Linked DNA regions of Sus scrofa. The protein of the gene in region 4 binds, or shares a complex with, the protein of the main gene of each other region. Links are inferred from orthologs where the notes say so. Each region holds a gene or a part of one and is shown on either strand. Other genes may lie near its edges. The genes, in order: SNRNP40, BCAS2, CWC22, CWC15, RBM48, GPKOW and CRNKL1.

Region 1 (4,311 bases), on a different chromosome or scaffold from region 4:
GGGTAGTCACTATATATAGGCTAGGGGGACTGAAAAATGGGGGTAATGGGGAGTACAAGGAAAAGACAATGGAAACAATGATTGAGTATATTTTTCCTGATTTAGATAATGGCAACTCTTCTCACATAACTTACGTCTCTAATTAGATTCTCTTCTTCTGAAGTTTCCAGGGTCTGTTTGTTATGCTAACTCTCCTCCTCCCTCACTGCGCTCCTACTTTTGATTGCTCAAACATGTTAAACTCATTTCTGCCTCAGGATCTCTTATACTTGTAGCTGAACCCGCAGGAACAAGACAGAAACCCCTTCCCCTAGATCTTCCTGTGTGTGACTCCTCTCAAACATTTCTGCTTCAGAAAGTCCTTCCTGGAACACTCAAACTCAAGCAGCACTCTTCCACCTCCCTTCTACATGCTATCAACCTTAGGGATTCTCTCACAGCACTTCATTTTTCTTTTTTTGCTTTTTAGGGCTGCACCCATAGCATACGGAGGTTCCCAGGCTAGAGGTCTAATGGGAGCTACAGCTGCCGGCCTATGCCAGAACCACAGCAACGCCAGATCCTTAACCCACTGAGTGAGGCCAGGGATCAAACCCGCAACCTCATGATTCCTAGTCGAATTCGTTTCTGCTGCACCACAACGGCAACACCTCTCACAGCACTTCTCTAACTACCTGAAATTACCTTCCTCATTACTTGTTTACAGTGTCTCCCCTACTGTGCCACTAGAAAAGCTCTGTGACCACAGGAACCCTATAGAGTCATTCAACAGTCTTCCCAGTTTCTAGTTCATTTAATGAATGAATGATTGAATTGAGCTTCCCAACAACCTTGCAGGGTACAAGGTTACTAAGGAAAGTAGTCTTGTTTACGGTTTTAGCCACTAAGCCTAGGCTTGGGCAATTCACAGAAACTTGAGCTGATATTCTTACTTGTCAGATGGAAGAACAAATACACTGGCATTCTCTTCATGGCTCAGTGGTTAACAAGCCTGACTAGGAACCATGAGGATATGGGTTCAATCTGTGGCCTAGCTCAGTGGGTTAAGGATCCGGCGTTGCCGTGAGCTGTGGTGTAGGTCGCAGACACAGCTCAGATCCTGAGTTGCTGTGGCTGTGGCGTAGGCCAACAGCTGTAGCTCTGGTTTGACCCCTAGCCTGGGAACTTCCATATGCCATGGGTGCTGTCCTAAAGAAAAAAAACCAAAAGAACAAATACACTATTAATAATTCCTAAATCTCATCAGTAGTTTCCAGCTTATTCATTTACTCAAAAAATACTATGTGTCAGGCACTGTTCTAGACATTGAGAAAACAGTGTTGAACAAAATAAACAATGTAGGTTGTATTCTAGCAGGAGGGAGGGACAGAAAGGAGGGAGGGATGGCAGAAACAAGTATAAGGTATAGATGGTGGTGGTACGTACCATGGAGAAAACCAAACAGCAATGTGTTAGTGAGTACCCAGGTATGCAATTTAAAACAGGTTGGTCAGGAAAACCTTCATGGAAAAAGCGATATTTGAGCAGAGACTTGGAGGAGCTGAGTGTGTAAACCAGGTGGACATTTGGAAAAAGAACACTCCAGTAGTGGGAAAAGAAAATGCAAAGGCTTTGTGTGTGGTAGGAGCATAGAAGCCAATGTGACTGGAGTAAGGTGAGCAATGGAAAATTGGTAGATCAGAGAGGTCAAGGGAAAGAGGGCAAAAGGTTGTTAGGATTTTAGTTTTACTCTGAGTGAAGCGAAAAGCCATGGCATGTTTTCAGCAGAGGTTAACATGATTTGATGTTTAGAAGGATTCCTCCGGCTGCTGGACTGAGAATAGAATGAGCATCTGAGAAAAGAAACAGGAATGCCATCAGGATCCTACAGCAGGAATACTAGGTGAGAGAATAACAGCTTAGATCAGGAGGTAGTGATGGAGATATTTAGAAGTGGTAACAAATCTGGGTTTATTTTAAGGATGGTGCCAGCAAAGATTTGCTGACAGCCTGATTGAGGAGTTTCAGGAGGGGACATATATTCTTCAGCTAAGCCTAATAGAGCAGAAGGAGAGATGTCATCCATCACTACCTCTATCTTATAAGAACTCTAGTTAAAAGCCTGGATTCTGATTTTAAAATCGGTTTCTATCACTTATTAGAGAAGTTTGTTTCCCCATCTACAAAATGGGACAATTAACAATTCCTACCTCTTAGGCAGTGACCAAGATTAATGGAGTTTTCATATACAAAACACTTAGTACATGGCTCAATAAGTGTTACCTATTCTTCAGTTGTTAATACTAGTGCAGAGAAAGAGTTTTCCCCAAAGCAAGTTGCCCCAAGTCCCAAAGCGAGCTAGTATCGTTCATTTCCTTCCTTTCTTTCTTCCTTCATTCATCCATCCACTCTTTCAACTTTCCTGAACGTTTATTCTATGCTGGATCCCTGGAAGATTTAGGATGCGAAAGCCCGGGGCCCAGTTTTAAGATCCCTCACTAATTCTAACGCCCCCTCACAGGGCCATCGAGACGCTGAAACGTCAAACGGGGAAACGTAGCATCGCAGGGTGTTGACCGCTTTAACAGGTTTTTCTGCTCTAACTCCCTGGTGTGAGTCCCGTTCCGCCCCCGCAGTGCAGGGAAAGGGCCGGTACGGGATCTCACGGTGGAGCACTGAGGAGACAGGAAGATGAGCTGAGGGCCGAAGGCCATCTGCTCGTTTACTCACCGCTTGCAGCAAAGCTCCCGGCGCCGCCTGCTGCTGCCCGGCTCCCGGGCCCGACCCCGCCGCTCCCAAAAGCAATTCATGCCGCTGCCGCTTGACTGGGACCAGAGGCAACTCTGGGCCCTTGCGCTTCTGCTGTTCTATCATGGCGGCAACCGCTCTCCTCAGGCCGCCACTGACCGCGCCGACACCCTCAGGGAGCGCACGATTGGCTCCGACTTAGTCTTTCCCTTAGAACTTCCGGCTTGGAGAAACCAATCGGCTTCCAATACTCCCCTCTGCACCGCCCCCTGGGGAGTCTCCAGTTATTGGGCAACTCATTCTGATGTCACTAGAGTACGATTCCAGGATTGGTGGAACGAGCTGGAGTCCCGCCTCGGCGCGCTGGGTCTTGTGGGTGGAAGCGCGCTGACTGGGTTCTGGCGTTTCGCGCAATGCTGCGGCGGGGAGACCTGACGCTAACTCCGAGTAAGTGTTGGGGGTGGGTGGCTGCGGAATCTGGAGGCGGCGCCTCCGTTGTGTGGTCTGAAGCTGGCCTCTCTCAGCCCAGGGTTGATCGCAGAGGGCAGAGGGGGCCCCTGAGTTCCTAGCTCTTGGTGTATGGTGGCCTGGGTTCCCTTTCTAGGTTGGAGCAGAGCAGTGGGGTCTCTGCGCCTGCCTGGGGCCCTCGACGGCTGCTTTCTTTAACAAGCGCCTTCTGTGTCGAGCCCTGTGCCAGGTGCTCCTTGGGAGAAAAGGTCAGTTTCCCAGCCTCCACCAGGGTCGTCTCAGACTTTGGAGGCCGACTTCTTTCTGCCGTGATACTGCAGCCTTTTACCAGCGCCTGCTCTGTGCCCCTGAGAGAGAGAGAGGGAGAGAGAGAGAGAGATGAAGGAAATGTCCGACTCTTGGTCTCCAGAGCACAGTCTTGGCTGAGAAATTCAGACTCATACTTGTGAAGTAGGTTTTCTCCTTAATCGTTCAACTGATATTTATGGTGCAAAGCTTTGAGGAGACATTGTGAACCAAACATGGTCCCTGACCTCAGGGCTTTGAGTCCGATGGGAAAAACAGATGCTCAACAATGATCTTTATAGGGAATGCAAAGTAAGTGCTGCCAGGGAAAGGTACCTGGTGTTTTGAGTGCCAGAAATAAGCCGGAAGACTTGTCTAACAAAAAGATGCCTGAACCTATGCCTGAAGGAAGAATTCTAATTAGTTGGGGGAAGAGAGGAGGGCAGAATATTCCATATAGAACAGCATGTGCAGAGGCCCAATGGCAAATGAGAGGAAAATGACTAAAAGGTACAAAGAGGCCAGTGTTGCCAGGACAAAGAGAATAAAGGGGAGTGTGGTACAAGATGAAGCTGGAGGCAAGTGGAAGCCAGACTGTGTAGGAATTTGTAGCTTTTCTTTAAGACTGATGGGAAATCACTGAGGTTTTATTTTGTATTTTGCAGTGGAGAAGGTGGTGTGATGGAGGAGGCAGCTTGGTCCTTCTGGCTCAGTAGTTTGAATAGATTGGAGGGGAGATAAATGCAAATAGACCGCTGAGGTGAGAGTTGTTAGCAATGAAGACTATAGAGTGTTGGTGGAACTGAGAGGTAGATATTTTCTAGACTCCTT
Region 2 (4,351 bases), on a different chromosome or scaffold from region 4:
TGCTGAGAACCACGGCTCTAAGGATTCACTGGGGGCAGGGGAGAAAGAAGATGGCCTGGACATACATAATTTGCTTTAGAGCTATGAGCCTAAATTTACACTTCCTTTTTGATCCTTGCTGCTCTTTTTACACTTTACTCTTTGGAAAGAATGGAGAGAGAGTTCCCATTGTGGCTCAGCAGTAATGAACCTGAGTAGTATCCATGAGGATGCTGGTAGATCCCTGGCCTTGCTCAGTGGGTTAAGGATCCAGTGTTGCCGTAAGCTGTGGTGTAGGTCGCAGATGTAGCTTGGATCTCGCATTGCTGTGGCTGTGGTGTAGGCCGGCAGCTGTAGCTCTGATTCGACCCCTAGCCTGGGAACTTCCATATGCTGTGGGTGCAGGACCTAAAAAGAAAAAAAAGAATGGAGACTAGAAGAAGGGACAAAAGGAACTGGTTCTGCTGTTTGCTCCAACAATTTTACTATTAAAAAAAAAATGTGGTATAGCTCTACCTCTTCAGGCCAATGTTTTGGTCAACATTCTATTCCGTTTAGACTAAAGAGTAAGCTAAAAAGGACTTCCAGAAGCCCACATTCCTTGTTTAAAAGTTCTGCATTAAGTATGTCTTGTTGGAGAAAGCCTTTTTTTTTTTTTTTTTTTTTTTTTTTTTGGAATACTGCTGAGCTGCACACACCTCTAAGAAAATGTGGTTATTTTGTTTCCTGCAGACACTAAGGCATTCTAGCTAGAAGGCTATGCACAGTGACAGATAAAGAGTAAACACTACTAATGAGGTGAGAGAAACTACAAAAATACAGCACACACAACCTTGAGCCACGTAACATAGAAGCCCTTACCTAACTCACATGGCCAATAAGTGAGAGATCTGGAATTTTAACTCAACTCTCTCCAAAGACTGAGCCAACACTCACAGGGCTGTCATATAAGAAGTCCAGGCATGAATGGCACATGGTAAGCATTCGTTAAATCAGAATGCCTTAGGAGCTCTTCATACATTCAACTGACAAATATTTGGGTGCCTATTGTGTGCCAGACACTGTCCTAAGGGATGAAAATACAGTGAAGAAGACAAAAAGGATCCCTGCTCATGGAGTATCATCTCAGATTACATAGGCCTTCCTCAACCATCCTATCTAAAGTAGTCACCCAGTCACTCTGTATCACATCATTACTTTAATTCTCCATGTAGCTTTACCAATAATCTAATAATTTCTGATCCGTCTCTACACTCTAGAATGTAAACTCCTGTTCCCCAATAACTTAAAAAGAATGTCAGAAATAGTTGTTAAATGAATTAATGAAAGAGCAGCTTCAAAGGCAGTTTGAAGATCATGGGGAAGTTAGTAAGCTGCACTTTTCCTATCCAAAAAACTGGTATAAAAAACATACAGTTTACAATTCACAGGACTGCTTTTAGGACTGAGATAGTGAGCTCAGTACACTATTAGCTCCTACTATTAAGAATCACTATACTAATTATAAAGATAGAAGTATAGGTTCTACTCAAGAGACCAAAAAAGAAAACCTGTTCAAGTGTTTAAAAGTTTGTGATTGAATGAAGTTATCTGAAATTTTCAGAAATCAGGCTAATAAGGACTTATTATTACTGTACCTAGTTTTTTTTTTGTTTTGTTTTTTTGTCATTTTAGGGCCACAGCCTTGGCATGCTGAAGTTCCCAGGCTAGGGGTTGAATCAGAGCTGTAGCTGCCAGCCTATGCCACAGCAACGCAGACCCAGTGGCCTCTGTGACCTACATCACAGCTTACGGCAACACTGGATCCTTAACCCACAGAGCATGGCCAGGGATCGAACCCAAGCCCTCATGGATACTAGTCAGGTTCGTTAACCACGTGAGCCAGGACAAGAACTCCTGTGCATAGTTCTTAATACTGTAACATCTACATTTGGGTGACATTTAGAAAAAGCATGGGAAAACAGGATGCCATAGGAACATCTCTCTCCTACTTAAAACTTAACCGATATATTTTTTTCATGTTACTTCAATAGAAATACTGCTTTTTATAAGAGATTTCTTTTGTAAATAAATGGTTACCAGATATGGGGAAAAACGGAACATGTATATACTAAAATGCCTAACAGAATCCATTAATTTAGAAATATTTTACATTTCATTTAGCTGATTAGACCCTAAATAGTATTACAGATGCACTTCTAAATATTTAAAGGGTGCATTACTTAGATACGGTTTGTCTCTTCAGTCATTCTCACAGATTCAGAAAATACTTAAACTTTGGTTCAAAGACCGCCCTCCAGTGGTTCTCAGAAGCTTAGGTAACTAGGCTTTTGTGTATTTAAAAAACCCTAGATCACTTGTTTTGCAGTAGACCTTAAAGAGAAAAGGATCCCTTTGAGAATTTACGCAGTGAACCTACCTCGGAAAAACGTTAACATTCGTTTTTGCATTGTTAGATCAGTTCGCGAAGCCCTAGAAAGTCCTTCTGTGGCTCTAAGAATAAGAACCCGGGAGACAGTTTATCCATGCAGCTATTTTCAATTGACTGACACTACCTATACCAATGAGTAAGCTGTGGCTAGGCAAGTAACAGTTAAAGCTGGAATCTGAAATTCACTTTTGTGTGGCTAAGGCTCTCAATCCAAAACAAAGATTCACAGGATCCTGGTTTATAACGTGGACTCAAAATATCACACTCACTTCAAAAGCGGAATAATCTGGGGCTGTCAGGTAGCTCAAGTAGTTCTTGGTAGGTCGGTACCTGCGAGTTTCCTCCTCTACCAACGCCGCGGCCTAAGAAAGAGAACAGAGGCCAAAATAAGAGGAGCACATCGTTAGGTCAGTCTTCCAGCCCGAAGTGTCCGCGAGCGCTGAGTCAGTCACACAGACACCCGGAACTTACCGCTTCCCGCACACCAGGCGCTTCATAACCCTGGTCAAAATACGGCAGCGCGTCTACAACAACCTCTCCAGCCACCAAACCGGTGCCCGCCATTCTTGGGCTCGCCTGACTTCTCTGAGTCTGCGCGGGCTCAGGCTCGCTTAAATAGGCCTGCACCCGATATTAACATAATCACGTTGCCGACGTCCGACACCTACGTAATCACGTCGAACATGTAATCACGTCTATCGTCAGCGCCGACACTGTCCTAAGCACGTCGCTTGCGTAATAGCTTTTGGCGCATGCTCAGTTAATTCCGAGGGCGTGCTAACTAGAAATTGTCCAGCCTTCTTGTTTTGGTCGGACGTGACGTCATGTTGTGTGGCTCCGGAGTCTGCAGGAACGTCTCAATTTCCTGTCCCCACCTGCTGCGCTTTTTTGCCTCCGATTGGCAGCCAAGTGGAAGAGTTGGGACTTTTGGTTTCCTCCGGCTCGCTGATATCTGGGAGGGGAAACCCTTTAATAAAACTTTTGAGGGAGGGGAAACCCTTTAATAAAACTTTTGAGGGAACTCGCTGCAAGATTTAGCGAAGAGAAGGATCCTGGTTTCCCACCTCGGCTTTATTCCCCTAACCTTCCAGTCTTCGGTTAAACTACTCTCCCTTTTCACTTCCTTGCTCTATCTGCACTATTGTTCTCCGTCCCTTGAGAATCTTTGCACCGAATAAGTGGAATAAGTGCAGCTCTCGCAGACTCTAGAAGTGGGCGTTAGACTCCAGTGAAAACTGCGAAGCTTTGGAGTCTGGAGTGTGCCTAACAAAAGGAACCTGATCTTCCCCCGGGGCGAGATTGGTAACTGCCCACTAACCTCATCTTTTAAAAAACTGATTTTTGCCTTCAGGACGTGTATAAAATCCAATCATTTTGCTTTTAGGGCTTCTGGTAACAGGACAATCTTTCTCATTGCATCCTAACACTCGTGATACTGCCAGTACCTATTTCCAGCTCCCTTTGATTAAGCAGGGGAAGACTAAATAAGGTAGGTAGGACTCTATACCGTGTCCGGTGTGCAAATATCGACCCAGACTTTGCCAAGAGCCTGGAAATGTCGGCCACGGTTATTAAGCTTGAACCTAGGATTATCTTTTAACCTACCATTAATTAAGTGTGCTAGCTATATAGATTTAACTGAAGTAAAAAATCTACAACTTAAGCCATTTAAGATTCTCCCAAGAGATCCACGGAATTTTTTGTTTATTAAAAGATCTGTAAACAACATTTTATACAAATCTTGAGCAATTACTTTACAAACATGTCCAGAATTTGTAATACTTTACAAAAGCAAAATAAAAGACTTAAGAAAAGGAAGCAGCTTCAGATTGCAGGGATAAAATAAGACCCCCATCCCTGTAGCAAAGCAAAAGTCTCCTCACAGAGGGATGGCCAGGATCCACCAGTTACACCTTCTATCCCCATTTTATAAACACTCAA
Region 3 (4,319 bases), on a different chromosome or scaffold from region 4:
AGTCAAGTTAAACATGAACCTCCACTGGGTCTCCCTCCCATTAGCCAACCTATTCTGTAGTCACAGGGGCCCATATGTCCCCAGGCCAAGGCATCCACATCATCTTTTTTAGTACCTGTTCATTGGGGAAGATTTATGAGCTTAGCTACAAATAGCAAAGGCCTGCTTTAATCCACCACCACTTCTCCTGATGTATTATTTTAGAAAAATGCTTTGAAAGTTTGCACTTTGTTGTACGCCTTGAAATGTCTCTTCCAATGTCCACGTGAGAAATATATATACAGAGATAATATTTAGGCTGCAGGCTTTTTAAGTATGGAAGTTCACAGAAAATATTATGGTAGTGGCCTTTTTGTTCCATTACCTCCCATGCTAGAATTCTCAGATTTAAATAGAAAAGGAGAGAAATGCAACAAGGAAGCCCTCAAAGTCATTACCATTAGTGAGAACAGCTATATTACCAATAGCCACTTCTTTTTTAAACTAGTTCTGGGCCAGCCATGACTTATATCAAGTTAGGGATACACCAGGTAGTACAAGATTCAGTCCAAATACAAGGGGACAATAAACAGAAAATAATGTTCAAGTTACATAATGTATCACTGTGTACTCTCTTAGGTAGTTTCAGCTACAACGAGCCACTGTACAACTCTTGGCAATGTACAGTCACCAGGGAGGAGACTTAACCTCTAACAATTCAGTAGCTGGGAAAATGGACAAAGCTAAGAAAACTGGTTTATGAAAAACAAGTAAGAAATCCAGGAAGTGTAAGAAATCCAGAATTCCTATTCTATTTTCTTATTATTCACTCCAGAAGTGATTGGAACTAAACTATCCAAAGTAGGGAAGGATGTGTCAGTGGAATAACAAGGAAATACAGGCTAGCCATGGATCAAGTACTTTGCAGCAAGAAAGGCAGCAAACCTGATTCTGGGTGAGGGTGAACCACTGCAAATACCCAGGAGATGGGCTAGAACAGTGGCTCTCAAACTAACTGGCATGAAAATCACATGAAAGCTTTGGTTAAAAAAAAAAAAGAGTGAAAGGCCCCTCATTCCCCAGTTTCTGATTCAACAGGATTGGCATGAAGCCCAGTAATTTAATTTCTAACAAGTTCCATGTAGATATTGGTGCAACTGATTCTACTGATTCAGGAGATTATATTTTGGAAACTTGGGTCAGGTAGGGCATTAGATTAAGGTTCTTGGCCTCTGAAGTCTCAGTGCCTCATATGCATTATTTCTCTTCATCCTCAAAACAACCTCCATTTTTCAGCTGTGTTATCTGAGACTAGAGATGTGAGGTAGTCTGCCCCTAGAGACAGACCTAAAATGTACTGAACCAAGAATGGTACCTTTGGTTTACTAGTCCATCACTCAGTACCAATTCAATTTGGTCTCCTTCTCCTACAGAAAGTGATGTAAAAACGCTTCTTGTTATCAAGATGACACTTTTTTTTGGTGCAGCATATGGAAGTTCCCAGGCTAAGTGTTGAATGGGAGCTGCAGCTGCCTACCCATACCACAGCCACAGCAACACCAGATCCAAGCCGCATCTGCAACCTAGCTGCAGCTTGCCCCAACGCCAGATCCTTATTTAACCCACTGAGTGAATCCAGGAATCGAACACTATGTGGAGTTCTTAACCCACCGAACCACAACAGGAACTCCCAAGATCACACTTTTAATGGCAATTCTAAATCCACCTTTCCATAGTAGGATGTTAACTGAGGTTAACTCCTAAACTCAATGGCAATCCTAAAACAAATTTAAATACAGACAAGGAAGAGGCAGGTTAACTGGTTTTCTGAAACCCAAGTTTATCTGTCTGTCTGTTCTTTCTAGTCTGTGGAAACCTGAAAATGTTAAGGGAACTCTTTCAAGACTTTCAACCATCTCATTCTTGCATCTGGAATAGGCTTTCCCCATTTTTTTCCTTCTTCGTTTATCTCAAATAATTATTCTCAGGATAAAGCGAAAATAGGTTAAAGTGGTTACTGCAGCTGGACTCAGTAAAATTAACTATCATATTATATTACCAGTACATGCAAATGTATCGTAGATTCAGAACTCAATAGAGAGGTAGACAGACACTGGGGACCCAAGTTCGGGAGTTAGCACCTTATTGGAAGTAGTTCAAGTTATGGAAAGGTAAAGAATGACAGAAAGAACACATATAATAAGGAAAAAAACAGTCTCCAGGACTAAACACTAAGAAGCATAACTATTTACGAGGCAAATGAATGAAAAAGAAATGACTACCGAAATTTTACAGAAGCATCCACAAAGATAGTACGCCTAATAAAGGAGAGTGTAACTTCCACTATTTTTAAATTAACTATCGTACATTAATCCCCCACCCGTGGGGAGGCACTAAGAAAGGGACCTTGGGAAGCTCAAACAATTTGAGAGGTTCTAATTGATTCAAAACTGATCCGCATCCAAAACACATCGCATAGGAAGGGAGCGCTGGTTCTGGATTCTGCAATAAAGACAGTGGGGAGAGACAGCCCAGGAGCCTCACGATAGCTACTCCGTCCGCGCAGGCGAGGAGTGGATTCACCACCGCCCGCTGCACCCCACCTACTGGGACTCCTCGGCCCGACAGACACTCACAACCCAATCTCACGGGCCAGCGCGCGGCGGGAGACCCAAGCGCACCCTGGAGCCGCCCACGGCTGTCCCAGCGAGCGTGCACCCAGTCCTGGGCCCTCCTTTACTTCCCGCCGGGTCCCACAACCCGCCACCCGCACTCCGGTTCGCTGCCTACAGCGGGTCTGCGGAATTCGGTAATTACCTGGAGCTCCACCGCGCCGCCATTACACCGGATACACGTCACTTCCCTTTCCCGGGCCGGCGGTAGGCGGAAGGCGGAACATGGAATATATAAAAACCTAAATTGACCTTGCAACGTTATTCTATTACCTTATTTTAAATACCATCTTAAAATGCCACATTGTGAGCAGTCGGTAGGGTCCCACTTTTCCCTTCCCAAAACGGCGACAGAAGAGAAGTTGATATAAACTACAAAGTCCAGAACCCACACGCAAACAGGACGGAAATGACGTTTGCAATTGTAGGCTGAGAAGGCCGCAGTGTATGGTGGGAATTGTAGTTCTCCGTAAGCGGCAGAAAATGCGTCTTGCCGGCCCGCCGGAAACCTGGTTGTGAGAAAGACTTTTAAAAATTTACTTTACTTTAATCTAAAATTATTTCTCTGAAGTCGGCAAAAAAAAAAAAAAAAAAAAGTAGACCTTAATGTATTCATTTTTCTGAGAAAATCTAAGAGCAGACACCTTTCTCGGATTTCCTAGTTACAAGAACTATGTAAGTGAAAATGTTACCAGATGTTAATTAAGTGCCTACTAAGTTCCAAAATTTAAGCCCAAGTGAATGAGAGAATATTGGACTGTAAACAGAGTGACGTAATGAGGAGAAACTAATTCTTTAGAGAAGATGATGTTTCTCTTTTAGGTTAAGGTACAAGCTCGTGAGATATCATAAGGAGACAGCCTCGCTGACTTGGAAATAGTCTGGACAGAGATGAGAGGTAATCAAAGTATTTTCTTAAACTAAACTTTTTTTTTTTTTTTTTTTTTGTCTTTTTGCCTTTTTCTAGGGCCGTACCTGCGGCATTTGGACGTTCCCAGGCTAGGGGGTCTAATCAGAGCTACAGCTGCCGGCCTACACCACAGCCACAGCAAGGCGGCATCGTAGCCGCATCTGCGACCTACACCACAGCTCAGGGCAACGCTGGATCCTTAACCCACTGAGCGAGGCCAGGGATGGAACCCTCCACCTCATGTTCCTAGTCGGATTCGTTAACCACTGAGCTGTGTCAGGAACTCCAAACTAAACTTTTTAATAATAACAAAACCTAAAAGTTAAAACTGCTTGTTACTGTTTTGGAAACTGCCTTTCCTAAAATTTCTGTATATTTATGTTCCTCAACCTTGTATAAACCAGGTCTGGTTTCTCCAAACACTGATCTATTACAATTTGAAGGTGCTAGTATTACCAACCCTTTCCTAGAGGCAGAGTAAAATGATTATGGATAAAGATACTAGAGCAGAACAACTTATGTTAGAATCATGAATCTGTTGAAATAGATGGTTGACCTTTAACAGGTTGCTTCACACTGTGTGCCCATTTCCTGATCTGTTAGGAATGATAACAGTAGCCACCCCACAGAATAGTTTTAAGAATTGAATTTGGTGATACACTTGCTGTGTTTGTGATGATTCCTGGTACATGATAGTATTATCTATCCTTTTTCATGGTTAAGATATTTGGCCATAGTTTAAGGTGCATTTTGGTGTC
Region 4 (4,365 bases):
TTTGCTAGAAATAAAAATGGGAGAATTTTTCTTTTCTTTTCCTTTTTTAGGGCCATGCCTCTGGCATATGCAAGTTCCAGGGCCAGCGATCGAATTGGAACTACAGCTGCTGGCCTACACCACAGCCACAGCAATGGGAATCTGAGCCACACAGGGGATCTGAGCCACATCTGCGACCTACACAGGATCCTTAACCTACTCAGCAAGGCTAGGGATGAACCAGCATCCTCATGACACTGGGTTTTGAACCAGCCGAGCCACAATAGTTAACTCCATGGAGAATTTCATAGACAGAAACAATGGGGCCTCAAAAAGTCTGGCTGTGAAAATACCTTAATCCGAACTGAAACAATGGTTGCTAAATATTCCCAGATCACCTAGTTCTTTCCATATAGAAACATAAAAAGATGGAACTGGAATCAAATTCATTACCATCTCTAATCTAATCTAATCTAATCCAATCTAATCTATCCTAACCTAATCTGATCCAGTCTTTTAAGAAACTTAAAGTTCACACCAATATTTAAAAGCAAGCAAACAAAAACAGTAATCCATTCTAATTACCACGTGAAAGAAAAATTACTGTCAACACAATGTCATGAGAGACGTGTCCAGGGTGTAGGGTAGTCTAGGGGTCTAGGGAGTGTTGGTACCTCGGGTCGGCCTATCTCTATTTTTTTCTCTTGCAGCAGCTCTCTCTCTCTCTTCCAACTCTCTCCTGAAGTCGCGGTTCCGAACCTCTTCGGGGGCATCCTGAGTGGTCTGTCTAAAGCAGAAACAAACCAGGGCAAAAATACTTCTTAAAAACACACGGCTGTAGTCATAGAAGACAGCTTGTGAAAAGCAACTTTGTCCTGAGTTCCTGAAACATAAAGTCCCATTAGGGAAACTGGACAAGATCACTATCCTAATCTGAGGGTTACTAAGAGGCTCCTGTGATGTCTCTGATATTTCAAGAACCTCAAGCTAAATCACATACTTTCCCATAATAAGGGTGCAGGTTGATTAAAATGTCCTTACTTTTTGTAACTATGTCAACTCAGGGCTCTGTTACAATAATACTCTTAATCTCATATTGATTAGTGCTGATAGTGCACGTCCCTCTGAGATAATGTATCAGCTATTGCTCCATCTACTTATGGAAATTCCCAGTTAATTGCAATTTCTGCTTAAGGAATATCTTGTAGCATTTTACAATCATAGCGCATGATTTTAGTGTTATAAACACTAATGCATTCTACTCCTATGAAAATAGATTACTAAGTGATAATAACGTAAACACTATTATCTTATGACCATACCATTTAACAGATTTGGTCTTCCTTTGTGAAACAAAAAAAAAAATAAAAGGCTTCATTACCTATATTTTATCTTCGTATGAGAGGGTAGGTCTCTACTTGAATATTGCTTGGAGAGTTGGCTCAAATCACCTTCTCCTTTTCCTCTCCCACCTCTTGCAGGTTCAAAAGTTGGCCTAGCTGCCGTCGTCATTTTTTATGCTTTGAAGAAAAAGTGCCAAGTTACTTTCAACATAACAAACTATCATTTTATAAAGTATTAATCAATATCCATCCTTGGGAAAAAATTTCCCTAACTTATTCCCCAAAACTTATTTAAAATGATCTCAAAAGTTCTCATGAAAACAAACAGTGAAGCTCAGGGTGTAGCGGGAATATGCAGATATTTAGTACAAAAAGTTCTGTCATGAAGATCTGAGACTGTGTTCCTGTTCTCCTTCTGGCTCTGTGGCCTTGGACAAGCCAACTAGCTTAAGTTTCCGTCATCTGTAAAATGGGGACTATTCCTCATGGGATTATCATGAAATTAAGAGACTTGACATGTCAAAGCCCTTGCAAAAATACAGTACTGCCGTGTCTCAGTTTTTAAAAAAATCTCAACTCAACCTTACTCCACCAGACTCCTTAAGGTTCCCATTTTATCTAAACCTCACACTGCAGAAAAGAGGCTAGCAGCTACAAAAACAGAGAAGATATCTAAAAAAACAAATCATTGACAGATACTGAAGGTCCTGAAGAAGTGTGCTCAACTTCGACGACAGTTACATTGGCAAAGCTCCCCAACAATCTTTTGTTGTTTCAATTTTATCCTACAGCAGCCAATATAATATAAATCATAACTTTTGCAAGTTACAATTTAAGGGATGCTCAAAACACAGGAACCCACCCCCACGGGACTCTGGTAACTACAAATCAGGGACTCCTTCCTTATGTTACTTCTGCTTTTAAGCAACTAAAAAACACTGCACAGCCGATGTGGCTACTAAAACCTCCCTCAAGCGTCGGAAAAGCAAGTGTCTGGGGCAGCTGGCATACTTCTCTAGATTTTCAAAAAAGGGAGAGGAATATATCCAGTGGGGGTGAAACTGGGTTCCGGGCCGCTGGGGGCGCCGCCGCCTCCCACACACCATCGTTATTTACACTCTGGGTTCTGGGGAGTTCACCTTCGGGTTGTCATCGGAAAGCCCGGCGATTCTTCACCCGTGCCAGATTTGGCGAGGGGCTGGGGGCGCCCAGACCCGCTTAACGCAGCCTGTAGAGCTACCTTCACGCTACGCTCTCCGCGGCCGGCCCGGGACTGGCCGTCCCCAGTCCAACAGGCGCTGGGCTCCGCAACCCGCTGCCGCTCCGGAAAACTCCTCTGCCTGCAGTCGGTTCTCCGCGTCCGCCCCCAACTGTCCTCCCCCCCCCCCCCCCCAGTCTGCTTTCCCCCAGCAGCTCACGTTGGCCGAGGTCCGAACGCACCAGCCTCCGGAGATCATTCAGAAACCACTTAGATTCTCGGCTCCCAGAAACCCCTGCGCCCAGGGCCAAAGCCCAAGACCCGGAAGCAAACCCTAACCTCTTCAGGGGCGGAGGCAGGGACCAATCGGCAGAGGCCAAGGGAGAAGTCGGCGTGACGACAGCAAGAGGCGGGGCTTAAACAGCCCAGGGGGCGGGCGTTTGAAATCGGTGCTTTGAGTAGACCCTAAACATCATTTTATACCTTCGAGAACCAATTACTTAATGTCTCTCCCGTCTTTTCCTTTCCCGACCCCCTCCCAGACGCCTTCATTCCGGTACTGCGTGGACGGAAAGCCCCGGGTAGCCGACACCACGTCCCCGGCTACCGAGAGAGAAGGAGAGAGAGCGTAGAAAAGGATTATACCAAACGGTTTAAATCCAACGGCTCCTGCTTGCTTAATCTTTGAGCTAGACCCAGCAAGCCTAGAGAGTTGGGCTACGGAAAGACTAGTATTTTCTTTTAATTGGATATGAAGAAAGAACAAATATGTACGGGGGCAACCACGATCTTTATAAAGGTACCATTCCTGCAAAAAATGTTAGTCTTCAAAGCAAAGGTTGTATTCGTATTGACTGTTAAAATTGTAATTTTTTTTAAAGCCTAAGTTCTAGCGGGAGGGGAGATGTCACTATTAGAGATTCATTCATTAACCGACATTGAACGTTTAGAACGGTGGGCCCAACTGCCAGGAGCCCTAGATGCAATTATAAGATGGCTACTCATGCGTTAGGTGAAGTTTTAATAAGGCAACGAACAGGAAAGGGAAAAAAATCACCAATTGTCCTTCTTACACCTCCAAAAGCACTGTGGGAGCAGGGATCTTGTTTGGTCAGTTTAACGTGGTTATCGTGATATCTAATCACATAGTCTTTGGCTCAATAGATACTTAAACAAATGAAAATCCAACTCCCTTAGCTTAGTTTCAAATGTAAAGAGCTCATTAAAATTGAACATAAAAAAGCTTTTTCCCCCCCTCAGAATTCTTTCTTTGAACTCTAAAATGAACAAAACAAAAGGGTAGAAAAACTCCCTTCCCTGTAAATTTCAAGATGCAAGTCTTGATTTTTCTAGGAAGGTATTACTCCCCCAGTCTTAGACATCTCAGTAAAGGACACTACCTACCATCATACTAGTTACTTGAACCCAAATCCCAGGGTTTCCTCTTAGATTCCTTTTCCTTCACTTGTCTCATCCAACTTATTTGCAAGTCTTACCAATTCTACTTTCAAAATATACCCTAAATTTCATTCCCACTGCTACTACCCTAGTCCAAGCCACCATCATTTTCCGCCTGGAGTGTAACTGTCTCCTTTGTCTTATAGTCAGTTTTGCATCTAGCAGTGAGAGTGATCTTTTAAAATAGTGAGTCAGGTAGTGTCACTCTCTTGCATAAAAATCTGCATTAAAAACCAATTTTTTTCCTTCTTTTTTTTGGCCGGCTCTTACTGCAAGTGGAAGTTCCTGGGCCAGGGATTGAATTCCCACCACAGCAGTGACCTGCTACAGTGACTACACCAGATCCTTAATCTGCTGCTCCAAGTTTCAAATGTCTGTCTTTCTTTC
Region 5 (4,574 bases), about 45 Mb from region 4:
ATGAATCCGACTAGTATCAGATTAGTATCTTAGATTAGATTTGATCCCTGGCCTTGCTCAATGGGTTGGAGATCTGGCACTGTGAGCTGTGGTGTATATCGCAGACACAGCTGTGGTGTATATCGCAGATCCCGCCTTGCTGTGCCAGCAACTGTAGCTCCGATTCAACCCCTAGCCTAGGAACTTCTATGTGCCGCAGTGTGGCCCTAAAAAGCAAAAAAATAAATAAAAAGCAAAGTCCAGGTTTTGCCAAGTGTATATACATCTTATACTTAGGGAATAAGAATTTCTGCTTGTGGACAGCATGACTCTACTGATCCAGTGCCTACTCTTAGAGCCTTTCTTTCCCTCTCCCTAGTCTTAATAGGTTTCAAGTCATCCATACCTATCCAGACTCCCTTTAACCAATACTGGATCCAGCTGGTTGGCCTGAGGTACACAATCTGTGGTTATGAAATAGAGATTTTTCTCTATGTTAAATGGCTCTTGAGCGTTAGCTCATACTTATTTTAGCCTTTTTGGCACAATGTGTTCCTATAATGGGATTCATATTTAAGAAATTAATAAAATATTGAAATTGTAACATTCAATAATGGAGGAAATATTGAATATATAACAATCAATGAGAATGGTATTCATTCAACAAATAATTTTTAAACATCTGTGACTGGCCAGGAATTACTACAATAAATAAGCACTTCAGTGCCCAGGGAAAATGATAAATACTTACTGAGATTTTACCACATCCCAGGCAGTGACCAAAGTGCTTAAGTGCTTCTCTTGAATTAACACAACAACCCTCTGATGAAACTGAAGCCTAGAGAGATTTATAACTTGGCCATTCTCACATTAGCTTTTGGAGCTAAGATTCAAATCCAGATGTCACACTGCATGACCTACTGTACCAGGTGGAGTGAGAGATGCAAAACTCCTTAAAATACACAATGAGAAAATATCCCTAACCATGAGGAGCTGACAAATTGGTTAGGGTAGTGAGATTATATATAACGGCAACCTGAGAACAACACACGATGACATTAACCCAAGTGATTTATGGCAGAAAGACTACAAGGGCTATCTGTAGCACAGAAAAGAAAATATGAATTCTAACAGCCAAGAGAAGATGGGTCTTGGAGCCTATCAATAAGAATAGGAGTCAACATAAAAAGAGCCAAGGCCCCAAGTAGAAAGGAAGAAGAGGGTTAAATTGGGGATTTGGGATTAACAGCTACACACTACTATATGTAAAACAGATAAACAACAAGGACCTACTGGTTAGCACAGGGAACTCTATTCAATATCCTGCAATAACTTATAAAGGAAAATAATTTGAAAAGGAATGTGTGTGTGTATACACACACAAATAGGTATATGTGTGTGTGTGTGTATAACTGAAACACTTTGCTGTACACCTGAAAGGTTGTAAATCAACACTTTCATTTTTTAAAATGAGGGAAAAAAGAGATAGGGCATTTCGTACTTAATTGTTGGAGAAAATTTTATGTTATATAGAAGGAGATTCAATTACACAGGTCCATAAAATAAGAGATCCAATACCTAATGTTTACTGCCTTCTGAATAGAAGGCACTGTGCTAAGCCCTATACATGGATCCATGTCATCCTCACACAACCTCCGTAAGTAGGTCCTTTTACCATACTGGTGTCTAAAGAATAAGAAAACAGTCTTAATGGGGTCAAGTAACCTGTCCATGGTCATGATGTTAGTAAACAGTGAAACTTGAAAATTTACTCCCAAACCAATTTTTAATCTACCATACTACACACACAAAAAAATTGTTAAGCATGGGAATGACGTGATAGAAAGAGTTTGGTAGGGCTAACATTTAAAAAGACTAGAAGAATACAGGGTCATGTTAGTTACTGGGTAATTCAGAAATGAATGAGGGAGGCCAAATGTAGGCAACGGGAATGGAGAAAATGAGACACTGTTTAACTTGCATATTACCTTGCACTTTGTAAATTGAGAAATTTAATAAGATAAACTTCTGTAAAGTCTTCTGCTGGGTATTCATCTAGAGCATTATACTGTTCAATTGCACCATACAAAGCAAATCGCTCAACTAATTCCTTCATGGCTCCGACTGCAGGAACTCCTTGTATTAATAAGTACCGAGATTCCAAATTGATCGTGTAAACCTATAAGAAATCAGACACATTAAATGTATTTCACAAAGAAGCCTGGGACAAATCTAATCCTATATTTTTTTAAAGTTGAAAAAAACACCTTTCGACTGGTTTGCATAAAAACAGGAAATCTAAAAACTTGCCCCTCTCTCTACATAATGAATAGTTTACCCTTCTTGCAAAGGCCTTTAGCTAAAGCACGTAACATTATCTTCCATCAATGTGTTTTCCACAAATTAGCTCGGTAGAAGTTACAGGGACGAGTTAACAAGTATTCGCTGAGCGTTTACCATGTAACAAGGACCACTGTAAACACGGAAGATACAGTGACTGAAACACAGCCCTCTTCTCACGGAGCTGAGGTTCTAGCAGTAGACTAAAGAGCACTCAAGCATCTTTGGTACTTGAGTACCAGCGTTTTTCATATTCTTCTTCAGTTAATCGATGTGACCGCAGCCTCTCAAGATGTTATTTACGTAAGCTGGGCATGTGAAGCTGGAACTCACAGAAAGCTACCGGGGATAGCGATTGAAACCAAAGTCACTTTACCCTGACAGCGCGAGGGCGGCGCCCCTCTCGATACTTGGCCCGCGAGTCGCATACAGCCCTTTGGACGTGGTGATCGAATAAGCCTCCTAGCTGCCCGCCGCTCAACGCCATCTTGCCGGTGTTATCCCTCGCGAACGACAACATCCGCCCCGTTGCCCCACCGTTTACCCAATAAGAGAGAGGGGTGAGTTAAGGCGTTCCGAGATTGGCTGAAGAATCGACACCGTCGGCCATCGTTTCCTGTGAGCGAGGATTTGGTGAAGAACGTGTCGCCCCCCAGCGGCGCGGCGGAAAGGCCCTGAGAACAGGCGCAGGCGTGCTGGCCCCTCCCGCTCCGGATGCGCCGCGGGGCCTTAGGGGGCGGGGCCGATCGATCGTCTCCGGGTCCGACGCCCGCGACCTGCGGGGTTGGCCCGGGAAAGATAGGTTGGGCGGCTGGGGGTCGGTGCCTGCAGACAATGTGGGGCGGCGATCGCCTGGCGGGTGCTGGCGGAGGCGGGGCGGCCGTGACGGTGGCCTTCACCAACGCTCGCGACTGCTTCCTCCACTTGCCGCGGCGCCTTGTGGCCCAGCTACACCTGCTGCAGGTAAGGCGCCCGCTTGGTGCCGGGCTCTCACCACCGACTTGGGACAGCTGCTGGCCAGTCTGCGGTCGGCCGAGACCCAGGCCTTTTAGGGACGCAGCGGCCGCTCAGGCCTCTCCCGGCGGCGGGATTAGGGCTGCTTTCCCAGCCCCGCCGACCGGTTCAGAGGCCACACTGAGGACCCCTTGCGGGCAGGGCTGGCCTGGGCGCTCTTGACAGCCACATCACGTCTAGTGCAGCACGGCTTCTTTGAGTTGACCTGCTGTATTCCAGGTCTTTTACTCGCCGGAACTGGGCTTTGAAACGCCCCGATATTCTCCCTCTTCGTTCAACTATTCCTCACTCCAGGTTGGAAAAGCTCTTGAGAAGTCGGGTTTGTTTGTCTTTTGGGATTCTGTTCTGTTTTGTTTCATTATTAGAAAACGTTTTTCCTGCCAGCGATTTCCAGGTGCTTGCATGGCTGTGGTCCCGGCCTTCAGAAAGAGGGGCGGACTTGGTTTGTGAAGTCTCTATTGGTTAACAGAGGTGGAGCCCTGTGTCCCACGAGCGGGATAGATTAATATGAACCTTCTTCCTGTGTCTCCAAACACCTCCGGGGTGCTCCAGGAATGTGCTGTGGGAGTATGCATACTTGGTCATAGGTAGTTAGAATTCCTTGAACCTCTGTTTTCACTTGCGCTCTGCACCTTGTGGTTGTGGCGGTTCATAGCTCTAACACTTGCATGGTTACAGAGATGCAACATCTGTATTTTCCTAATTGTAAAGTGGAGACACCTGGTTTACGAGTTTGAGCGTGCTTGCTTAAGGGGCTAAAAGGATAGGCTGTTTGAAATCTTCGAAAATCCTGAATGCATAGTACCCACTGGTTTGCAGTAATTTCAACAGTTTGCAATAATTTCAAATATCTCCCTTTTCCATTTTAGCTACTTCTCTGTAACTCCTTTTCTAGAGTATTTTCCCCTATCTTTCATAGCACATTAATTTCAACAGATCCTGCCATTATTTCTTTTACTATAAAGTAGGCAGTCTCTTGGCCCTGATAAGCTTCCTTCTGGCTGGAGATGAGTTAGTTATTATCACCTGGTCCCAGGTAGCTGCTCCCTGCCCTGTGCTTTCAGCTTTGATGATTTTCCACGTGCCTTCAAATCCCCACCTAATGAGTTTATAGTAATGTAGAGTAACTGATAATTTTATCTAAGATGTGGATGCTGTTTTACCTTCATCACTATTTAAGAATTTAGTGGTCTTGATCTTTGTTTTACATTTTGAGGCTTCAGTAAGAATTAGTTCATGAA
Region 6 (3,791 bases), on a different chromosome or scaffold from region 4:
GGGTTAAGGATCCCGCATTTCTGTGAGCTGTGGTGTAGGTCGCAGATGTGGTTCGGATCCTAGCTGGCCAGCAGCTATAACTCCGATTCGACCCCAAGACTGGGAACCTCCATATGCCACAGGCGCAGCCCTAGAAAGATTTAAAAAGAAAAGAACATCCTTCCTAATCTCACATTAGGACTATTCCTGACCTACAGAAATGGCAATTTCATTTGGTTCAACCTAAAAACATGCTATTACAAAGTAGCTACAGAGGAATCTGTGGCAGATCCCAATAACCAAATACAGTAATGTTTCTACAGGGAAAATCACATGGTTATTCACACCAAGCAGGAGTAGAGCATAAAATGCTCAACTGTCAATCCAGGTCACCTTTGGCTGCCAAATGTTCTATGAAAAAAAAAAAGTTTGTTTTTCAGAACTCTTTGGGGTTTACAACTGCTGAGAAGGGGTCCTAAGTCCATGTGATAATGATAATAGCAAATGTTTAGTCGATGCTTATCTGGGCCCAGGGCCTACCCTAACTGCTTTACATATATAATTTCACTTAACTCTAACAACAGACCCAGGCACTCCAGTCCTGTTATTATCCCCATTTTTCAGATGAGAAAGCTGATGCCCAGAGAGGCAATCTTTCTTTCTTTATTAATTTTAATTTTTTTTTTAAAGGACACACCTGCGGCATATGGAAGTTCCCAGGCTAGGGGTCAAATCAGAGCTACAGCTGCCGGCCTACACCACAGCCACAGCAACACAGGATCCGAGCTGCGTCTGTGACCTACACCACAGCTCACGGCAATGCTGAAGCCTTAACCCACTGAGCAAGGCCAGGGATCAAATCTGCATCCTCACGGCTACTAGTCAGGTTCATTACTGCTGAGCTACAGCAGGAACTCCCCAGAGAGGCAATCTTTAGATAATGGCATCTTATTATGGGGGGGGGGGTTCCTTTTCTTTCCCTTTTTGGCCAGCCCATGGCATATAGGGCACCTGGGCCAGGGATCAGATCCCAGCTGCAGTCTCGACCCACACCACAGCTGCAGCAATAGTGGGTCTCCCACCCACTGTGCCTGGCTGGAGATTGAATCCATGTCCCAGCGCTCCCAAGAAGCCACTGATCCCATTGCACCATAGTGGGAATTCCTCATTGAGGAGTTCTGAAGGGCAAATAGGAGGTTGAAACAGTAGTGGAAGGGGGCTGCTGAAATACTTAGGTTGGTCATGTACCCTCTCCCTGCCTGGATGGTTCTGGGTGGGCGGTAACCATGGGGGTCTGTTCCTGTCTGTTGTCCCCCTGCCCCTACCCTAGAACTCACTGATTGAAGGTGCGGCCAATGCCCTCGCCGGGTTTCCAGCCCATGCCCCGCAGCATGGCCAGCCCATAGGCCTCCACAGGGACTGCCTCGTAATCAGCCTCCTCCGGCACCTATGGGTTTAGGCAGAGGAAGGACAGTCAGGATTGGCTTACAGTGGGCCCTCTGAAGTGTACTTGCTATCACTCACTGGGTGACCCTCGAGGCATCTTTTCCAGTTAGCTCAAAGGTTGACTTCTGATTTCTTCTTGCCATCCCTCATTTTACTTCTCCCTGTTCAGTCCCTGGGAAAATAGTTATAAAGCCCCTATTCTGCGCCAGCTACTGTTCTAGGTGCCAAGGATAACACGGTGAAAAAAAAGATGAAACGCCTTCCCTTGTATGGCTTATGTTCTAGTGGAGACACAATAAATGAAATATATAAAACATGCTAAGTCACATGAAAAAAATTTAGCACATTAAGGGGATGCAGAGGGATAGAGATGGGAGTGTCACTGAGTTGATATTTGAGCTGAAACCAGAAGGAGATGACAGAGGGAGCCCGGAGCATACGATGTGATCACTCCAGAAAGAGCAGTAAGAGCAAAGGCCCTGAGGCAGGTCAAGATCTGCTATGTGTGAAGAGGATCAGGAAAAGTCAATCTGACTGAAACAGATGTGGAGGCAGAGAGGGGTAGTAAGAGATTCATCAGGAGAGCTGGGTGGGAGCCCCAGTAGGGTGGCAGCCACAAGGGGACCAGTGAGGAAGCGACTGCAACAGTCTGGATGAGCAGGTGGCTCAGACCAAAGTGGTGGTAGGGGTGATGGTGAGAAGGGGTCAGGTTCTTGATGTATTTTGAAAAGGGAGATGGCAGGGTTTTGCCAATAAGATTGTATATGAGGTACGGAAATAATGCAGGAAGTCAAGGGTGACTCTAACGGTTTTGGACGAAGTGAGAGGAGGGACGGACGAAACTGTGATCAGTTGAGATGTGGAAGGCTCTAAGAAGGGAAAATTAGAGAAAGGAGGCCAAAGCTGGAACAGCTTTGAGAATGAAGGTCTTCTTTTTTTTTTTTTTTTAATGAAAGGAACCAGAGGATGTCTGAGGCTGATGAGCACAGTTCAATCGAAAGAGAAGGTGCTCTGGGGCTGTAGGAGAGCTAGGACCCAAAGAAGCATGGCAGAAAAATGATGAATGAAGAGGTGACGAGTAGGGTCCATGGGAAGAAAGACAGACTTGGCAACTTCTGTGGACATACTGCTCACCTCTCCTGCTGTTACCTGCCATCACCATTCCCTTGAGTCTTGATATGCCCTCCAGACACATCACACGTTGTCCCTGATGGACACGCATGGTGGATTGCCTGCCACCAGGCTACTGTCCGGGTCATTGCTGCCATTAAGAGCACTCACCGTGCTCTTCCCTCTCTCTCTAAACCCTACCTTGTCCTTCCTGGCCTCACTCCTACCACTCTGGCCTGAGTCTCCGTCACCTCTAGCCTGGACTGCTGGTCTCCTTGCCCCCACCTCCGCTAACTAGGCTGCTCTATTCACAGCAGCGAGAGAGACGGTCAAACCGCAAGCCTTGTCCCTTCTCTGCTCCAGAGCCCTCCCATGGCTTGCATCCCACTCAAGAGTTAAAGCGGAAGTCCTCCCCATGGCCCACTTCTGACCTCCTCTGCTACCCTACCCCCCTCACTCATTCCACTCCAGCTCCTTTGGTCTCCTTGGCGTCCCTCAAACACTTCAGGCGGAGTCCACCCTCAGCATCTTTACATTTCCTGTTCCCTCTGCTCCTCATCTCCTTTAGATATAATCCCAGGATCCAAGTCCTTTTTCAAACCTGAGTATCTGGATTCATCTGTTAATGCTTCCAAAAAGGATGGAAGGAGGAAGGGAGAGGCAGGCCTCTTGTACACACACACAGACTTTTCCTGCTGGGGGCAGGGAGGCGAGCCTGGCAGACAGGGCAATGAGAGACTGGGGAAGGAGGGAGTCGAGGGGCCAGCTCACTGTCTCAGCCCGGGGTTCGCTGTCTGCCCCTTGCCCAGGATGCGCTGGGGTGCATCCTTTCTGGATCATGGGGATAGCGAGCGTGGGGTCGACACCCGCATTCTCTCTCTCCTCCAGGGACTTCTTGGATTCTGAGGAAGAATGGGAGGGAGCAATGAGGTCCCACCCTATCCTTCCATTTCCCTCCCCTTCTTCCTTCAGGAGGAGAAGGCAAAGGCGGAATCGCTCACCCTCGATGATCTCCTTCACAGCCTGGGACAGCATCCCATCCGCCAAGACCTCAGGAAGTGTGGATGGCCCAGGGGCCTGGGTGGTTGGCTGCCTGCGGTGGCCATTCTTGATCAAAGGGATGACAAGCTCCGTGGGGGCTTCTGAAGGCTTCACACTGATGTGGACACAGAGGAGTAGAGTTGGGAGAGGAGCATGATCAGTGGGTTCTGAGCCACACCCCTTCATTCAGAGGAAACAGAAGAGCCGAACTCACC
Region 7 (3,791 bases), on a different chromosome or scaffold from region 4:
CAGGGGACAGAAAGGGCCATGCAAGGTAGAGCCAGGCGCTCGGGCACTGGGGCCATCTGGACAGGGCTGAATCCTCTTTCTGGCACCACTTAGTGGGTGGCCTGAGGCAAGTCATTTAACACTTCTGAGCCTTGTTTTCCCTTTTATAAAATAAAAGAGAATCTACCAACAGTAGTTGTTTATAGGATATAAGATCACAACCTTTGTGAGATATGGTATTTATACATTTCCCCCAGGACCAGTGATTGGGTATTCACTAGCTGTCAGAGTGACTTCAAAGAATATAACTACTGCAAAAAACAAGGCTCAACTTAATTATGCAATTTTCAGATCTTCATTGTGACTACTCATTTTGATGTCATTAGTTCAATGAAAGCATTTATAGTGCTTGCTATGTGCCATGTGTTATTCTAAGCACTTTTTTTAAAATGATTTTTATTTTTTCCATTATAGTTGGTTTACAGTGTTCTGTCAATTTTCTAAGCACTTTATGGGTATTGTCATTTAATCCCCATGACAGCTCTGCAATGCAGGAACCGCTTCATGCTGCACATGAGGAAACCGAGGCACGAGAGGTTCAGCAGACTGACCAGGGTCTTTTGTGTAGTGATGGAGCTGGGGTTTGAATCCAGTAGCAGCTTCAGCGCCTGTGCTCTTTATATTGTTGCCCTCTAAATGTATTACTGCTTTGGAAGTTAATGGTTTCTTCAAGAGAAGTAGATTAACAATAGATACATCCTGTTTGGAAGTAAAATGGTAATCCGAACTCTCTCTGTTGGCTCTGGTCAGCAGTTTTCTTTTTGTGCCATTTTTTTTTCCTTAGTCGTTAATTCAAATATGAATGTTACTGAGCCGATACTACAACAGGTGCCATTTATTTGTTTATTCATTTTGTCTTTTGAGGGCCATACCTGTGGCATATGTAGGTTCCCACGCTAGGGGTCAAATCAGAGCTGTAGCTGCCAGCCTACACCACAGCCACAGCAATGGCAACATGGGATCCAAGCCACATCTGCCACCTACACCACAGCTCATGGCACCGAAGGATCCTTAACCCACTGAGCGGTGCCAGGGATCGAACCCACGTCCTCATGGATCCTAGTTAGGTTTGTTAACCACTGAGCCACAATGGGAACTCCAGGTGCCATTTATTGAGCACATTCTTTTGGGCTAGAATTACTAAGAGCTTTACACACATTTTCCTCATTTAAAGCTTGCAGTCATTGAATGACATTGGTTGCTATTATTTTCCTTTATTTACAGATGATAAAACCAGTGTTTAGATAAATAACGTCTTTTCCAGATCGCATGGCTAGTCAGGGGGTTCAGCTTTTTCATGGCCCCAGACTCCTGTTTGTAGCAGCACTGGAATGCTGAGTAAGCCCTGGAGGAGGCCAGCTGAACAAGGCATGGCCTCTCGGGTGATTACAAGTTAGGGGGTCTTCATCTCTGTACATGTTTTATCACACACACACCCACCTCCCCCAGCTGGAGTGTGGATTGTTGGGGTTTGAATTTGGGGTTTTGTTTTTTAAGCCACATTCTGCCCATATTTCTTTAATTCTGCCCACTTGTTCTCGTGCACCCCGATGTGAAGAACTGGATCAAGTACGCCCGTTTTGAAGAAAAACATGGTTATTTTGCCCACGCACGGAAAGTGTATGAGAGAGCTGTCGAATTCTTTGGGGATGAACACATGGATGAACACCTTTATGTTGCCTTTGCCAAGTTTGAAGAAAATCAGAAAGAAGTAAGTAAACGTAAAGGAACTTGATTCTGTTGCAGAGCAGCCTAGAAAAGGTTATTGCTTGTGCACACTGAGTTCATTTCCGTTTTCTTATTCACTTATCCTTGGAGAAAGTGCTTTTAAAATACACAAACATGATTTCTCAAGGAAAAGAGCATATATCTGTGACTAAGCTGCAGATTGGGAGCGAGTGATTATAGATTGTATTTTAATTGGCTTAACTTTACTGTGCTCTACTTGAACATTAAGCCTGTCCATCTAGAAAGAATATTATCAATAAGCTGAGAGTCTGTTGGTATCCTGATTAAAGGGCTTTACAGGTAATGAACCTGGGAAATAAAAGCCCAGAGCCCTCAGTACGGAGAACAGAATTTGAAATTAAAACAGATTGCCTCACAAAGAAGTCAGTTATTTTCTCCCATAGTGTAAATGGAAAATAATCCTGTAAAGTGGCTCAAATAATACAAGATTGGTGGGTGGGCGGTGTTGGTTGGGGTCTGAATGCAGGGTTTTGCTTGGGTTACAGTAGTGAATTCTGATTCTCTTCCTAGGGCTAGTGGCAAGTGTTGCAGGTTTTAAGCAGGAGAGTGGAAGGATATAGTTTGTGCTATGAGGAGAGCCTGTGGCTAATTCATCGAGATTGTATTGGGAGGAGGGTGGTGAAAGTGGGAGGCTTTTGAAACAGTCCAGGGAGAAATGGAGGTGGGTCAGCAGAGCCCTGGGAAGAAGTGAGGGGCTGTGTTGAGGAGGTGGAAAGGGCTGGGCTGTGGAAGTGGTGAGTGTGGAGAGTGAGGGAAAGAGGCATTAGGAAGGACTCCTAACTGAGCAGGTATACGATGGTGGGTTTTGCTCAGCAGGGCAGGGAGTCTGAGAAAGGCCGGGGCCTGGTGGGGAGAAACAGGCTCACCTTAGCCTGAGGTGCATGGATGACATCCAGCTGGCAGCATTGGGGGACTTTTGTCTTGTTAGTACTGCACCTGCAACATATGGAAGTTCTCAGGCTAATGGTGGAATCGGAGCTGTAGCTGCCAGCCTACACCACAGCCACGCCAGATCTGAGCTGTGTCTGTGACCTACACCACAGCTCATGGCAACGTCAGATCCTTAATCCATTGAGCAGGGCCAGCTATCAAACCGAGTCCTCATGGATACTAGTCAGGTTCGTTAACCACTGAGCCACGATGGGAACTCCAGTGTTTTGAACATTTTGAGGCCTTACAGTCTTATACCTAAGTCTTATGTCCTAATTACTTTCCAAGTTGTGACAAGAATGGAAATACTGTGTTCTAGAAGATAATCCTTCCCATCTCTTCTTAGTTTGAGAGGGTACGAGTCATCTACAAGTACGCCCTGGATCGAATTTCAAAGCAAGAGGCCCAGGAACTCTTTAAAAATTACACCATCTTTGAGAAGAAGTTTGGTGACAGGCGGGGCATTGAAGACATCATCGTGAGCAAACGGAGATTCCAGTATGAGGAGGAAGTGAAGGTGAGTGCTGGTGTAGCTGCTTCACTCTGCGGTGACGAGCACATGCTGGCCAGTCCTGACTGCAGTGACATGGGTCAGGGCAAGTCAGGGCCACAGTGATCGCTCTCTCGACCATGTATCTGCAGAAAATTGGCAGCGACTCCAAATAGGAATAAACAGACTGATAGAAAGGCAAGCAAACAGGACCTGGATTTGCTCTGCCTCTCGCATGGTGGAGGGCACTTTGTTAATTGCTGATGGTATGCATAGAACTTGAGCAAGAGAAACCTGGAATCCATCTGAGCACATTTTTGAACAAAGAATCAAATCGATCCTAAAAAACCCTTTTATATACATTATCCTTAACTTAAGTGCTGGAACAAAAGACTTTGTAGGTATGGGACATTCTCATCTCTGTCTGGAATGTGTTAGTTTGATTTGAATTCAGAGGTAGTCAGGTTTTCCTGTGCTCTTCTGCTGTGTATTTAAAAAAACTTCGACTTGGTCAAATGTATTAAGATATCTCCAAACAAAGGACTAAGTCAGGTGTTAAATGAGGTCAGCAAGATATGTTCAA

The links.
Region 1: CWC15 (region 4) and SNRNP40 share a complex: the UniProt entries of both Homo sapiens proteins name them as parts of the minor spliceosome. The link is inferred for Sus scrofa from reciprocal best matches to the Homo sapiens genes CWC15 and SNRNP40.
Region 2: CWC15 (region 4) and BCAS2 share a complex: the UniProt entries of both Homo sapiens proteins name them as parts of the PRP19-CDC5L splicing complex. The link is inferred for Sus scrofa from reciprocal best matches to the Homo sapiens genes CWC15 and BCAS2.
Region 3: CWC15 (region 4) and CWC22 share a complex: the UniProt entries of both Homo sapiens proteins name them as parts of the minor spliceosome. The link is inferred for Sus scrofa from reciprocal best matches to the Homo sapiens genes CWC15 and CWC22.
Region 5: CWC15 (region 4) and RBM48 share a complex: the UniProt entries of both Homo sapiens proteins name them as parts of the minor spliceosome. The link is inferred for Sus scrofa from reciprocal best matches to the Homo sapiens genes CWC15 and RBM48.
Region 6: CWC15 (region 4) and GPKOW share a complex: the UniProt entries of both Homo sapiens proteins name them as parts of the minor spliceosome. The link is inferred for Sus scrofa from reciprocal best matches to the Homo sapiens genes CWC15 and GPKOW.
Region 7: CWC15 (region 4) and CRNKL1 share a complex: the UniProt entries of both Homo sapiens proteins name them as parts of the minor spliceosome. The link is inferred for Sus scrofa from reciprocal best matches to the Homo sapiens genes CWC15 and CRNKL1.

What each region holds. Positions count from the first base shown.
Region 1 is NC_010448.4:87,876,688-87,880,998, forward strand, and holds the start of SNRNP40 (U5 small nuclear ribonucleoprotein 40 kDa protein), read right to left. Parts: upstream 2,937-4,311; 5' UTR 2,854-2,936; coding exon 2,710-2,853; intron 1-2,709. UniProt on the Homo sapiens protein: Required for pre-mRNA splicing as component of the activated spliceosome. Component of the U5 small nuclear ribonucleoprotein (snRNP) complex and the U4/U6-U5 tri-snRNP complex, building blocks of the spliceosome.
Region 2 is NC_010446.5:105,991,274-105,995,624, reverse strand, and holds the start of BCAS2 (pre-mRNA-splicing factor SPF27), read right to left. Parts: upstream 3,068-4,351; 5' UTR 2,975-3,067; coding exon 2,882-2,974; intron 2,773-2,881; coding exon 2,680-2,772; intron 1-2,679. UniProt on the Homo sapiens protein: Required for pre-mRNA splicing as component of the activated spliceosome. Component of the PRP19-CDC5L complex that forms an integral part of the spliceosome and is required for activating pre-mRNA splicing.
Region 3 is NC_010457.5:85,602,793-85,607,111, forward strand, and holds the start of CWC22 (pre-mRNA-splicing factor CWC22 homolog), read right to left. Parts: upstream 3,046-4,319; 5' UTR 2,797-3,045; intron 1-2,796. UniProt on the Homo sapiens protein: Required for pre-mRNA splicing as component of the spliceosome. As a component of the minor spliceosome, involved in the splicing of U12-type introns in pre-mRNAs. Promotes exon-junction complex (EJC) assembly.
Region 4 is NC_010451.4:27,044,397-27,048,761, forward strand, and holds the start of CWC15 (spliceosome-associated protein CWC15 homolog), read right to left. Parts: upstream 2,885-4,365; 5' UTR 2,741-2,884; intron 2,710-2,740; exon of another isoform or gene 2,462-2,709; intron 1,500-2,461; 5' UTR 1,492-1,499; coding exon 1,361-1,491; intron 767-1,360; coding exon 654-766; intron 1-653. UniProt on the Homo sapiens protein: Involved in pre-mRNA splicing as component of the spliceosome. Component of the PRP19-CDC5L complex that forms an integral part of the spliceosome and is required for activating pre-mRNA splicing.
Region 5 is NC_010451.4:72,443,076-72,447,649, reverse strand, and holds the start of RBM48 (RNA-binding protein 48), read right to left. Parts: upstream 2,840-4,574; coding exon 2,696-2,839; intron 2,159-2,695; coding exon 1,968-2,158; intron 1-1,967. Other genes in the region: PEX1 (peroxisome biogenesis factor 1), read left to right, coding at 3,034-3,282. UniProt on the Homo sapiens protein: As a component of the minor spliceosome, involved in the splicing of U12-type introns in pre-mRNAs.
Region 6 is NC_010461.5:43,181,728-43,185,518, forward strand, and holds part of GPKOW (G patch domain and KOW motifs-containing protein), read right to left. Parts: intron 3,692-3,791; coding exon 3,537-3,691; intron 3,438-3,536; coding exon 3,307-3,437; intron 1,427-3,306; coding exon 1,317-1,426; intron 1-1,316. UniProt on the Homo sapiens protein: RNA-binding protein involved in pre-mRNA splicing. As a component of the minor spliceosome, involved in the splicing of U12-type introns in pre-mRNAs.
Region 7 is NC_010459.5:28,101,805-28,105,595, reverse strand, and holds part of CRNKL1 (crooked neck-like protein 1), read left to right. Parts: intron 1-1,571; coding exon 1,572-1,750; intron 1,751-3,064; coding exon 3,065-3,235; intron 3,236-3,791. UniProt on the Homo sapiens protein: Involved in pre-mRNA splicing process. As a component of the minor spliceosome, involved in the splicing of U12-type introns in pre-mRNAs.